Drosophila melanogaster: one gene and its partner. The protein of the gene in region 1 interacts with the protein of each later gene in a pairwise test. Each region holds a gene or a part of one and is shown in the gene's direction. Other genes may lie near its edges. The genes, in order: ABCB7 and CG15741.

What was found.
Region 2: the proteins of ABCB7 (region 1) and CG15741 interact in a two-hybrid assay, tested with the Drosophila melanogaster proteins (one large-scale study listed by BioGRID).

The regions. Positions count from the first base shown.
Region 1 is NT_037436.4:1,616,557-1,623,913, forward strand, and holds ABCB7 (ATP binding cassette subfamily B member 7), read left to right. Parts: upstream 1-1,857; 5' UTR 1,858-1,944; coding exon 1,945-2,061; intron 2,062-2,291; exon of another isoform or gene 2,292-2,361; coding exon of another isoform or gene 2,362-3,702; exon of another isoform or gene 3,703-3,841; intron 3,842-3,871; coding exon 3,872-3,998; intron 3,999-4,260; coding exon 4,261-4,486; intron 4,487-4,546; coding exon 4,547-4,701; intron 4,702-4,760; coding exon 4,761-6,109; intron 6,110-6,175; coding exon 6,176-6,433; 3' UTR 6,434-6,857; downstream 6,858-7,357. Other genes in the region: CG33791 (uncharacterized protein), read left to right, coding at 1-745; CG13926 (uncharacterized protein), read right to left, coding at 868-1,065, 1,151-1,546; CG33230 (uncharacterized protein), read left to right, coding at 2,362-3,702; GC (gamma-glutamyl carboxylase), read right to left, coding at 6,957-7,357.
Region 2 is NC_004354.4:11,836,736-11,839,914, reverse strand, and holds CG15741 (uncharacterized protein), read left to right. Parts: upstream 1-1,888; 5' UTR 1,889-1,904; coding exon 1,905-2,312; 3' UTR 2,313-2,372; downstream 2,373-3,179. Other genes in the region: Cyp28c1 (cytochrome P450 28c1), read right to left, coding at 1-57, 118-305.

The DNA.
Region 1 (7,357 bases):
GCCAGCGACGGGCAACAAGGTGCAGCACTACAACGAGTACAAGGCCCTGATCACAAGCATCTTCGGAGAGCTGACGCCGGAGAACAAGAAGCGAATCGAGGATCGGATCAAGAAGCAGCAGGCAAAGGCCAAGGCGGATGCGCAATCGAAACCCAGTACTAAGCCACCAGCCGCTCCACCAAAGGGCGGTTCGTCGCCGCCACCAGGTAAGGGCGAATCTGGAGGAAAAAAGAGATCCGATTCGTCTCCATCTGCGTCTATAGCTCCTACAGGTCCAGCACCCCGTAAGCCACTGATCAGTCTGCCAAGTAGACCTCCAAGGGGTGGAAAGCAGCGGTCCGGCTCGGCTCCAGCTCCTAATCTGGTTGATGAAGATTCAGCTGCTCGAAATAGGGAACCAGATGCTTCTGCATATGATGGCGCATCACCGTCAGCTTGGAAGAGATCGGGCTCTGCTCCAGCACCGAGTGTAGTTCCCAGGGCATCGGCCTCCCGCAGTCCGTCTAGAAAGTCACCTTCACCCTCTCACGACGGCATATCTCCTTCTACAAGACAAGAATCCTTAAGCAAAAAGAAATCAGGGTCGGCTCCAGCTCCGACGCCAACTTCTCGTGGACCATTCCGGACTGCGCCCTCCAATACAGAATTCATAAAGCGCAGACCTGCTAAAGATTACGGCAGTAGAAATGAAACCCAAAGCACTCCCGGGGAGTCGGAACTGGACCCAACAAAACCACAGCCCTAGTTTGAATCCTCCTTTGTAAGTCCACCAATAAAGATAGGTAATAGTTACAGAAAGAATATAAATATAAAACTTTACTTGTAATATCAACAACTTGTGGAGGCGACGCCTCCATTGTCTTTTGCTCAGTACTTCCAAAAGTTTGGATTCTGTTCCATGCGACGCTGGAAATTCGTATACCAATTTTGAACGACGGAGAAGGGCACAAAGGTCTCGCTCGAGATGGGCGGGATGTCTCTGGCTGCCACTCCGAAGCTGGAGGCGTAGTTGAAGAAGTTCTCCAGCATTCGCTGACCAAATTGCTTGTTGTCGTTGGCAGTGGACTGAAAATTGGAAATGGGGTTAGATTTGAATCGCAATTATTGCGCCAATCAAATCGGTTGGCAACTACTGATCTTCAGAACTTACCACGGCTGGCGTCTGTTGGGCCACCGTTAGCTCCGGTTCGAGGGAAACTCCAATCTGTGCGATGTGTGAGATCTCCTGGCTGCCGAAGACCATCCCGTGAGCCTGGGCCTCCAGCTCGTGACTCTTCTTCAGCTGGGCGATTTTGAAGATGGCGGAGGGCTTGGTGTTGTTTATGTGACCCAGATACTGCCATGTGGGTGCTGCGTTCGCGTCCGGCCAGCTGAAATATATCGCAGCGGAGGTGCCGACGGGCAGGGGTGATACGCCGGTGAGGAATACTACCAGGTAGTTGACGGATTCTATGTCGGGCACATTCACGAGCAACTTGGTGGCGTCCACGGCCACAAAATCCGATTGGGGCAGGCGTCCGGAGACTATCAGACCGAATAGCGACATTTTCGAGCGGTGGACTATTCCAGAATTCGATATGCCCGCTTTGTTGGGGGAGGAGATGTTATGGAGATGAGCAAAAAGGAACTACCTTATCGATGCTTTCTTTCCTAATGGTGTACAGCCCACTACGTTTCTAACAAAAAAATATATTGAAGTATATTGGAATTTGTTGCTTGCATATGTTCTGACAGTTGATGCATATTCCAAAATCCTAAAAAAAGATTTTTTTTTAAATTTTAAATGGAACTAGTTCAGGCGACTGCTACTTGGCTTGCCATTCACAGCGATACGGCAACTCCAAACAGCTGACGCTGCCATGCGAATGCTGATATCGTAGCAAAAACACAGGGACGGTGCGAAAGAAGAGGGATTTTATTTTGTTTTCGCCTGGCAATTGAGTAATGGCCGGACTCCTTCACCTGACCAAGCAGTGCAGCATCCACCTACCCGCCCACTTGGGACGCGCGAAATGCTACACACTCGCTAAGGGACCGGGAACACACGTGCAGGCAAGAGTGGTGAGTGCTCGGCCTCTAGACCCATTTCAAGGCCACCTGCCAGACTATCTAGACTAGATTACGGTTTCGTAATTACGCGTAAATACGCAATAAATTGGCGGTTTGATTGAGTGGGGACAGCCGGCGATCGGCGGGGAAAACAGTCTGCGTGTGCGTTGTTTTGGTCCTTCTCCACTTCCATCCGATCAATCTTGAATTAATGCTCCACGCTATGGCTTATTTCGTTGCAGCAAGCATAGAGTTAGACCAAAACAGCGCGCACGCACACAGACTTGGAGGATCGATCGGGTATTGGGGACAATGGGTCGCACGCAGCGTCGCCGGCATCAGAGGGCCAAGAAGTCTGACGAGAATTCGGGCTCCCTGCACGACCTCTACGTTCATCTACACTCCGTTGGCTGGCAGAACCACACTCACTTGTCGGCCCAATACTACGAACAGACAGGTCGAGGACTATGCTCTAAACAGAAGACCTTTTCTCCGGAGGATGAGCTCATTCGCCTGCCCATTGGCTGTCTCATAAGCATAGCGACTCTGGAATCTGATGGGCCATTCAAAAGTCTTTTCGACGAAGAGTTATTTGACAAGGACTCCAGAATTTCCTTTCAGGCACTGATAGCCTGTTATATTTTGTACCACAAGCACTTGCAGGAGTGTACGCTAGGGACTCACTCCTCTACTTACGCTGCATATTTGGACACCCTGCCCAGGTGCTACTCCACTCCGTATTTCTGCTCCATACCCGAGCTACAGTGTCTGCCAGAATCCCTGCTAGAGCGGACCGTGGCCCAGAACCGTCAGATAAGAGGTTACTTTGAAATTATTAAGAACATTGTACACAAATGCGATTGCTGTGGGAAGAGCTACGGCCAGGAGATTTGGACACTCGCAGACTTTAAGTGGGCCTACTTCAGCGTGAACACTAGGAGCGTCCACCTCAGTTCCCGCTTTCTGAAAAAGCAGAGCAACTACTTTCAGCCGCTTATCAGTGGCGACACCAACCTGGCATTGGCTCCGTTTCTGGATCTTTTTAACCACTCAGATCAAGTGGAAATCACAGCAGGGATTGAGGGTCCCGATTACGTTCTTACATTGAAATCTCTGCCATTTTCCGAGACCAAACCATATGATCAATTGTTCATCAGCTACGGTGCTTTGCCCAACTTTAAGCTATTGACGGAATATGGCTTTTGGCTAAGAGAAAATAAGCACGATTACTTTGAAGTCTCCCTACTGGACATTGAGCACATGATTAAGCAAAACAAGGAGCTATCAACGCAAACCTTTCACCGGAACATCTTTAAATTCATCAGGGAGCACAATCTGAACGATCAAATGTTCGTGCACATCGACGATGGATGCTCTCACAATCTAAGGGTTGTGCTGCACCTGATCTTCAAGCAGCAGGCCTACTTTCCCAACATCCTCAACCAGATTGCCTTTGGAGACGCCGAGCAGTTTCAGGACGTGCAGCCAGAGCTGTCGTACCTCGTAGAATATAAAATAAAGGAATACGAGATCTTTGGAGGAGAGCTGGATAAGCTTCCTAAATTGACAGAAAGTGGTGCAGTGGCACGGTCTTACCTCCAAGAGTGTATCCGTTACCTCGTTGACTTTCAATCGGTGCATCTAGCTGCATAGAAGCTGTCTAGGCTGAGCTTAGAATTTAAAACAAGGCGTTTAATATTGAAATGAATAGTAATAGATGTTAAAGAAAAACTACTTAAGTTTATATTATTTGAGGCATTTAAATTTTTTTTAATAAATCACAGAAAACTGTAAACTTTATTTTGTAAATGACCCCTTTCAGCTGTACTCTTCGCTGACTAAGGTTGATGATAAGAACAGCAGCGATGCCAAGCGGAAGAAGATTACCCCGTTTACGCCCACGCCGGGTAGCAAGCTCCTGGGTGGAGTATTCGGCAAGAAGGCCAAAGGTAGGTGCCGTGGGGCAGCATCAGTTACCCAGTAAATAACCAATGCTCGAGTATCCTGATTAATACAGCACCCCTGCAGATATCCGCAGGCTTTTTATTTAGTACTAGCCTCTCACGCTTTTTTTTTATTGACTAACCAACCCAAAATTGATTTTGTTTTGTGGACCGAGTACGTGCGTCCGTTTGTTTCTTTGTTTGTTTGTGCGCTTGTTGTGTTGAGCGCCTGTCTGAATTTGGCTGCATCCAAGTGAATTCAATGCAGGTGGAGCCCCAGCAGCAGCAGCAGCAAAAACAACAACGCTACAGCGGCAGCGACCTTACCGCCCACAACAACAGCAATCACGACTATGTCATGTTCATATAGGGGGCGGCAGCGATGGTGGCTCGGGATTGGGCAAGCTAGACGCGCCGGAGGTCACCTCCAAGGATATGCTGCGTGCCATGATGGCCTACATCTGGCCAAAGGAGGATCCACTGGTGCGAAAGCGGTAAGTTCATCTGACTATGACTGAGAATACTTTAATATCTATTGTTTTCCAAATTGACAGGGTGGGTATTTCCCTGGGTCTGTTGGCTGGCTCCAAGCTGCTGACCGTCTGTGTCCCCTTCTTGTTCAAAGGAGCTGTGGACACGATGACAACGCTGAACATGGACACTGCCCCGGATGCGGTCCTCTCCGCAGCCACCGCACTGATGTTGGGATGTAGGTTTCTTAGCCTGAGTTCCCTATCATAAAAGATCTTAACTGTCTAATTCACGCAGATGGCATTGCTAGAGCCAGTGCGGCGGGCTTTAATGAGTTGCGGAATGCAGTGTTTGCCAAGGTGGCCCACCACTCGATCCGAAAGATCGCCAGCAATGTGTTCCTGCATCTGCACAACCTGGATCTGGCCTTCCACCTGAACAAACAAACTGGAGCACTGTCAAAGACCATCGATCGAGGATCGAGGGGCATTAACTTTGTGCTCTCCGCCATGGTCTTCAACATTGTGCCCACTATCTTTGAGCTGGCCCTCGTGTCCAGTATCCTGGGAGTGAAGTGTGGCCTGGCCTTCGCTGGTGTCAGCATGGGCTGCGTTGGCATATACGCTGCCTACACTCTGAGTGTGACCCAGTGGCGCACCCAGTTCCGTGTATTTATGAACCAGGCGGAGAACGAGGCCGGCAACAAGGCCGTAGACTCGCTGATCAACTACGAGACGGTGAAGTACTTCAACAACGAAAAGTACGAGGCGGGTTGCTACAACGAGGTGCTGAAGAAGTATGAGGCGGCCAGCTTGAAGACTAGCTCCAGTCTCGCTCTGCTCAACTTTGGCCAGAACGCCATTTTCAGCAGCGCACTGAGTCTGATTATGGTATTGGCCGCCAAGGAGATTGCCCAAGGCAACATGACGGTTGGAGATTTGGTGATGGTCAACGCCCTGCTCTTCCAGCTCTCGATCCCCCTCGGTTTTCTGGGCAGTGTTTATCGTGAGGTGCGACAGGCTTTGCTGGACATGCGGGCCATGTTCACGTTGATGAACGTGGACAGTAGCATTCAGACAGCCGCCAATGCCCAGCCCCTGTTCGTGGACACCACTAACTCATCCATTGAGTTCCGCAACGTGAGCTTCGAGTACGAACCTGGCAAGCCCATTTTCCGGGACCTCAGTTTCACCATACCCGCCGGTAAAAACGTCGCCATTGTGGGCGGCTCTGGCTCAGGAAAATCGTCGATGGTGCGCCTTCTCTTCCGCTTCTTTGAGCCAAACTCTGGTAAAGTGTTGATCGGTGGCCAGGATATCAGCGCCGTGGATTTGGAGAGCCTGCGCAAGGTTATTGCAGTGGTGCCGCAGGATTCGGTGCTATTCCACAACACCATCGAGCACAATATCCACTATGGCAACCTGTCCAAGTCCCACGCAGAAGTGCAGAATGCTGCCCGCATGGCTGATTTGCATGACTCCATCATGAGCTGGCCAGGACAGTACTCCACTCAGGTAGGCGAACGTGGATTAAAGTTATCCGGTGGCGAGAAGCAGCGCGTTGCCATCGCTAGGGCCATACTGAAGAACACCCCCATTCTGATCTTTGACGAGGCTACAAGCAGTCTGGACTCGATCACCGAGCATGTGAGTGTTGAAAGCGACTAAGTGAACTTCTATAAACTGACGGAATCGGACTTCTTCCCTTTGTAGAACATTCTGCAGGCTCTGACCCGCGCTACCTCAGGACGCACTAGCATTTGCATTGCCCACCGTCTCTCGACAGTCAAGGATGCGGACGAGATTCTGGTGCTCGAGAACGGACGTGTAGGTGAACGTGGCACCCATTCGGAGCTGCTGAGGCAGAATGGACTGTATGCCCGCCTCTGGGAGACGCAGACGCAGCAGTTCGACCCGAGCCGGGAGATCAATGAGGAGGTGGCAGCGAAGAAGACGCGGGGCGTGGCGTAGACGAGGCTCCTAGCCTATTTATGTGTTTGTTATAATGTTATAACCATCCCCTTCGTTTGGCAATCCCTAGCCACTAAATTCACCGTAGAATCCTCCTGGACCGGAGATTCGCTATTCATAGGCTTAAAGTATCATTGTGACGTTTGTAAATACAGCTGTAGATATGCGATAAGAGAAATTGAACGGGATGTGGTACAATATGGAACATTTATTATCAGTTTTATCACCCATACATTCGGTTATATCGCTCTGGTTTCCAAGGTTTTGTTTCGAGATTTAATTGATTTGAGCGTATCGTTATGTAAATGCAAAATAATGTGATATTATTAAATGCATTTCATTGATATATAGACAAAACCAAGAGGATTTGTGTATATCCTTCAAATCGGACCTTCATTTCTTCAATATAAATTGTTATCCTCTGATTTATAGGCAATATAGGTTTTGAATTTGCTTAACCAGATTTAATATCGAATCTAGATACGGCTAAAACCGAAATAGTGCCGATGGTTAGCCTTCTCCTTCAATCTCCCCCCTTTACGGCCTGCGGAATGGGCACATCGTAGAGCAAGTACATTAGGCAGTTGCCAATGTGGCCCAAAAACTGCTGGTAGTTGGTAACCCGATGCTGGAACTCCTGCCACAGCGGCAGGACAGACCGCTCCTCGGTATCAGGCTGTTCTATCGTGATGCCCTGCTCCAGCATCGTTTTGTTGGTGTATGTGAACAGATACGAAGCTGGCTTCTGGCCAATGGTGGTGACCAAGTGGGTGATGTTGCTCTCCAGACCGATGCTCTTGCCGGCTGTCAGGAAATAGGCCTCCGGATCCCGCTCGTTCCGGTACCGAACATTTCCCTCAAGAATGGTCAGCGTGCAGTTGATAAGGTCCGGCGAGATGAAGTTGGTCAGAGTTAGTCCCGGGA
Region 2 (3,179 bases), on another chromosome or scaffold:
AGCTTGGGTGCACGCAACAGGTAGCAGCCCACATAGCTATGGGTATTCCTGTAATGCCTGCAAAGAATATATACAATATACGACCATAACACCACACTCGAATATGCGTATACCCACATATAGATATCGCGCATGTCCATGGTGAAGTGCTGGCGTGGCCAAATCATGTTGGGAAAGGAACCGAAGAGCGGCAGGGCTCTGGGTTCTGTGACTCCGCGACGCCGCCAGTGGCCAAAGTTCGAGACCAGAAAGGCATAGATCGCGCCCAGCAAGGTGGCAATCCCCAGTAGAAGCGATCCAAACATGACGACGTTGTAAGCGAAACTGAGTGGATGAAATTGAATCGGATACGCGCATCTGGTGGCACAAGGAGATCGGCGGAGATTGGGGATCTCCTCCGTAGCGTGCTTCCATTGCGCCCCTATGTATATACTATGCATACATTTATTATTCCCCATTTTGCAATTGATCTTATGTGGGTTTGCGTGTCGCTGGAACAGAACTTAGTTGGTGTCATTATCGAATTAACCAGCGAACTGCTCTTATGTCAGAATAACTAAGGAGCTGCATTTCGTAGTCGATCAAGGAACGTGTTCGAAAGTAAAGGTGCACAGGTCAAGCCAGTTGGGGGGATCAGCGATAGCGAAAGTAACTGCCAACAATCTGACAACCCTGAACGTAGCAAAGTCAAGTCGCAAGACAATCGGAACACTTAATTCAACAAAAGAGGCCATTGTCGAATTTTTGTTTGAGCTGCTTTTTATTCGCATATTTGGGTGCAAATATTTATTCAGCAACGGTTCGTGCAAGAAGAAAATTCCAAGCAAACCATTTCTCTTTTTCGAAAAGATCGGCGAAAAACCACTTGCAATTTCAAATCGCCACAAATTGCCATCTACTATGTCATTTTGCGTTGTGACGAATGCAATTAGATGAGCTTGCTTGTCTGTCAGCTTAGTGATCTAATCAATCAACTGCGAAATCGAGTCTCTCTCTCTATTTGGGGATTTTGTGCAGTAGTCGCTGGCTTCATCAATCATTCAAGATTGTACCATGATTGATGGTATTATGTAAACGAATTGCTCTAATTCCGGAAACCAGAGAGAAAAATAAACAAGCATTGCTCTAAGATTATATATTATATTATATTATATTATATTATATTATATTATATTATATTATATTATATATTCTTTGGTAGAGAATATTAAAATATGATTACTGTTGCTTATAATTGATTTTCAAATATAGGTAGCTAGTCTTTAAGTGTAGTTAAGATCCCACTAGTCAATGGCATTGACATTGTTTCGCCAGACGAATCTCGAGACCAGACCGTATCCAATGGACTCCAGCCCAATCCAAAGTGAAGAGATCTTGGCCAGCTTTTGAGGGGATCATTCCGCTGGTCTGCAAGATATGCGAAAATTCCTAATGATATATTCTTATATGTTATACTAATATTTAAGATAATATATTAAATAATATACTAAAAAATGAAACAGAACTATCAAACAAAAGATATTTTTAAACTGCCTCACAGCTCCAACAATTCTTTAATTACGAACAGAAGTTTTACCCTCGATTTTGGCAAATAGTGCCAATTATGTGACTCGTGTGCAAACAAACTGGGATTCTGGGCGTGTTCTATGCAAATAGCGAAAATAATGAAAATAATGCCATGGATCGGAGCACCGGAGATCCAAGACAGATGACAAATGTGTGGAAGGGGGGGGGGGGGGGGGTGGGATTGGTGTTGGTTGCTCCGTATTTACCCTGGCCAAATATACGTTTAATCTTCGGGCGGTTGGATGCTCGTTAGATGCCATGGATAGGGGTGCTATAAAAGCCTGGTTAGAATAGAGATAAAGGCACAGTTCCAAGTACCACTGCCCCAAAGCCGCAAGATGCGATTCCTCTGCGTACTGATCCTCGCCAGCCTCCTGGCAGTGGCTAGTTCAACTTCATCTACTTCACCTGCTTCATCTACTTCACCTGCTTCATCTACTTCACCTACTTCGTCCACTTCTCCAACTTCGTCCACTTCTCCAACTTCGTCCACTTCTCCAACTTCGTCGTCGTCGAGTTCCTCATCATCCACGGCGACCACCACTACAACGACAGTTGCTCCCACGACCACCACCACCACGGAGGCGTCCAGTTCATCATCGTCGAGCGATAAGAAAGTTCGGCACACGAGGCACTACGTCAACCGGCGTCACAGGAAGGACAAGAAGACCACCAAGAGCAAGAAAAAGAACAGCAAGAAAAACAAGAAAACCAAGAAAGTCCGACGCACCCGTCGCAGTGGTTAAATATTTTCTTCCTTTCGAAATCGAAATCAACCCACCGATCGCAGAAAAAACTATGATTGCATCACATCGTAATATATCTTTTTTTTTAATCAAATAAAGTAATTGAAAAATATTGAAAAATACATTTGCTGTTTCGAAATGAAGTTATTTTAAGTGAATATATAATAATATTATATATATAAAATCCTTGCAGAGAAAAACGATAATTGCTGAGTTTTTTTTTTTTAGTTTATGCATTTATTATATTATATGGTGGAATCAATTCTAGAATCGACCTCTCAAATGAATTCTATGACACTTTCGGTTATACAAATGAATTAAAAAAGATAGATTTTTTTTTTTTTGTGGTTTTTGTCTTATAGGCTTTTTTTTGTTTTGTTTGATTTTCGATTAACTAAGGGGAAAACATGCGACGACATGAAATGAACATCGTAATAAGATGCCCACATAAACGTAGATATATGTATATACTCATATATTTAGGTATGGGTTTTAAGTAAATGTTCTGCCAATTTGCGTATCTATATGTCTATATATATATATATATAAATATATATATATATATGTATGTGTATATATGCGAAATCATATCCGTAGACTTAGATGGCTAAAATTTGTTGCTGAAAATCGAAACATAAAGTGAAGACGACAGTTGCAAGTATAAAAAATATTTGTATGCTTCTCGTTTCTCCTTCCACAAAACCTTTAATTCTCCTCTCTCCAATATTTTGTTATATAAAATGTTCAATTTTCAATATCCACAACCTCAACCTGGCCAGCAGTATGCGTGTGTGTGTGTGTGTGTGTATGTATTTTGTATCTATGTTTTGATTTCAGCGACCTCAGTTTTATATCTTTACCCTTTTT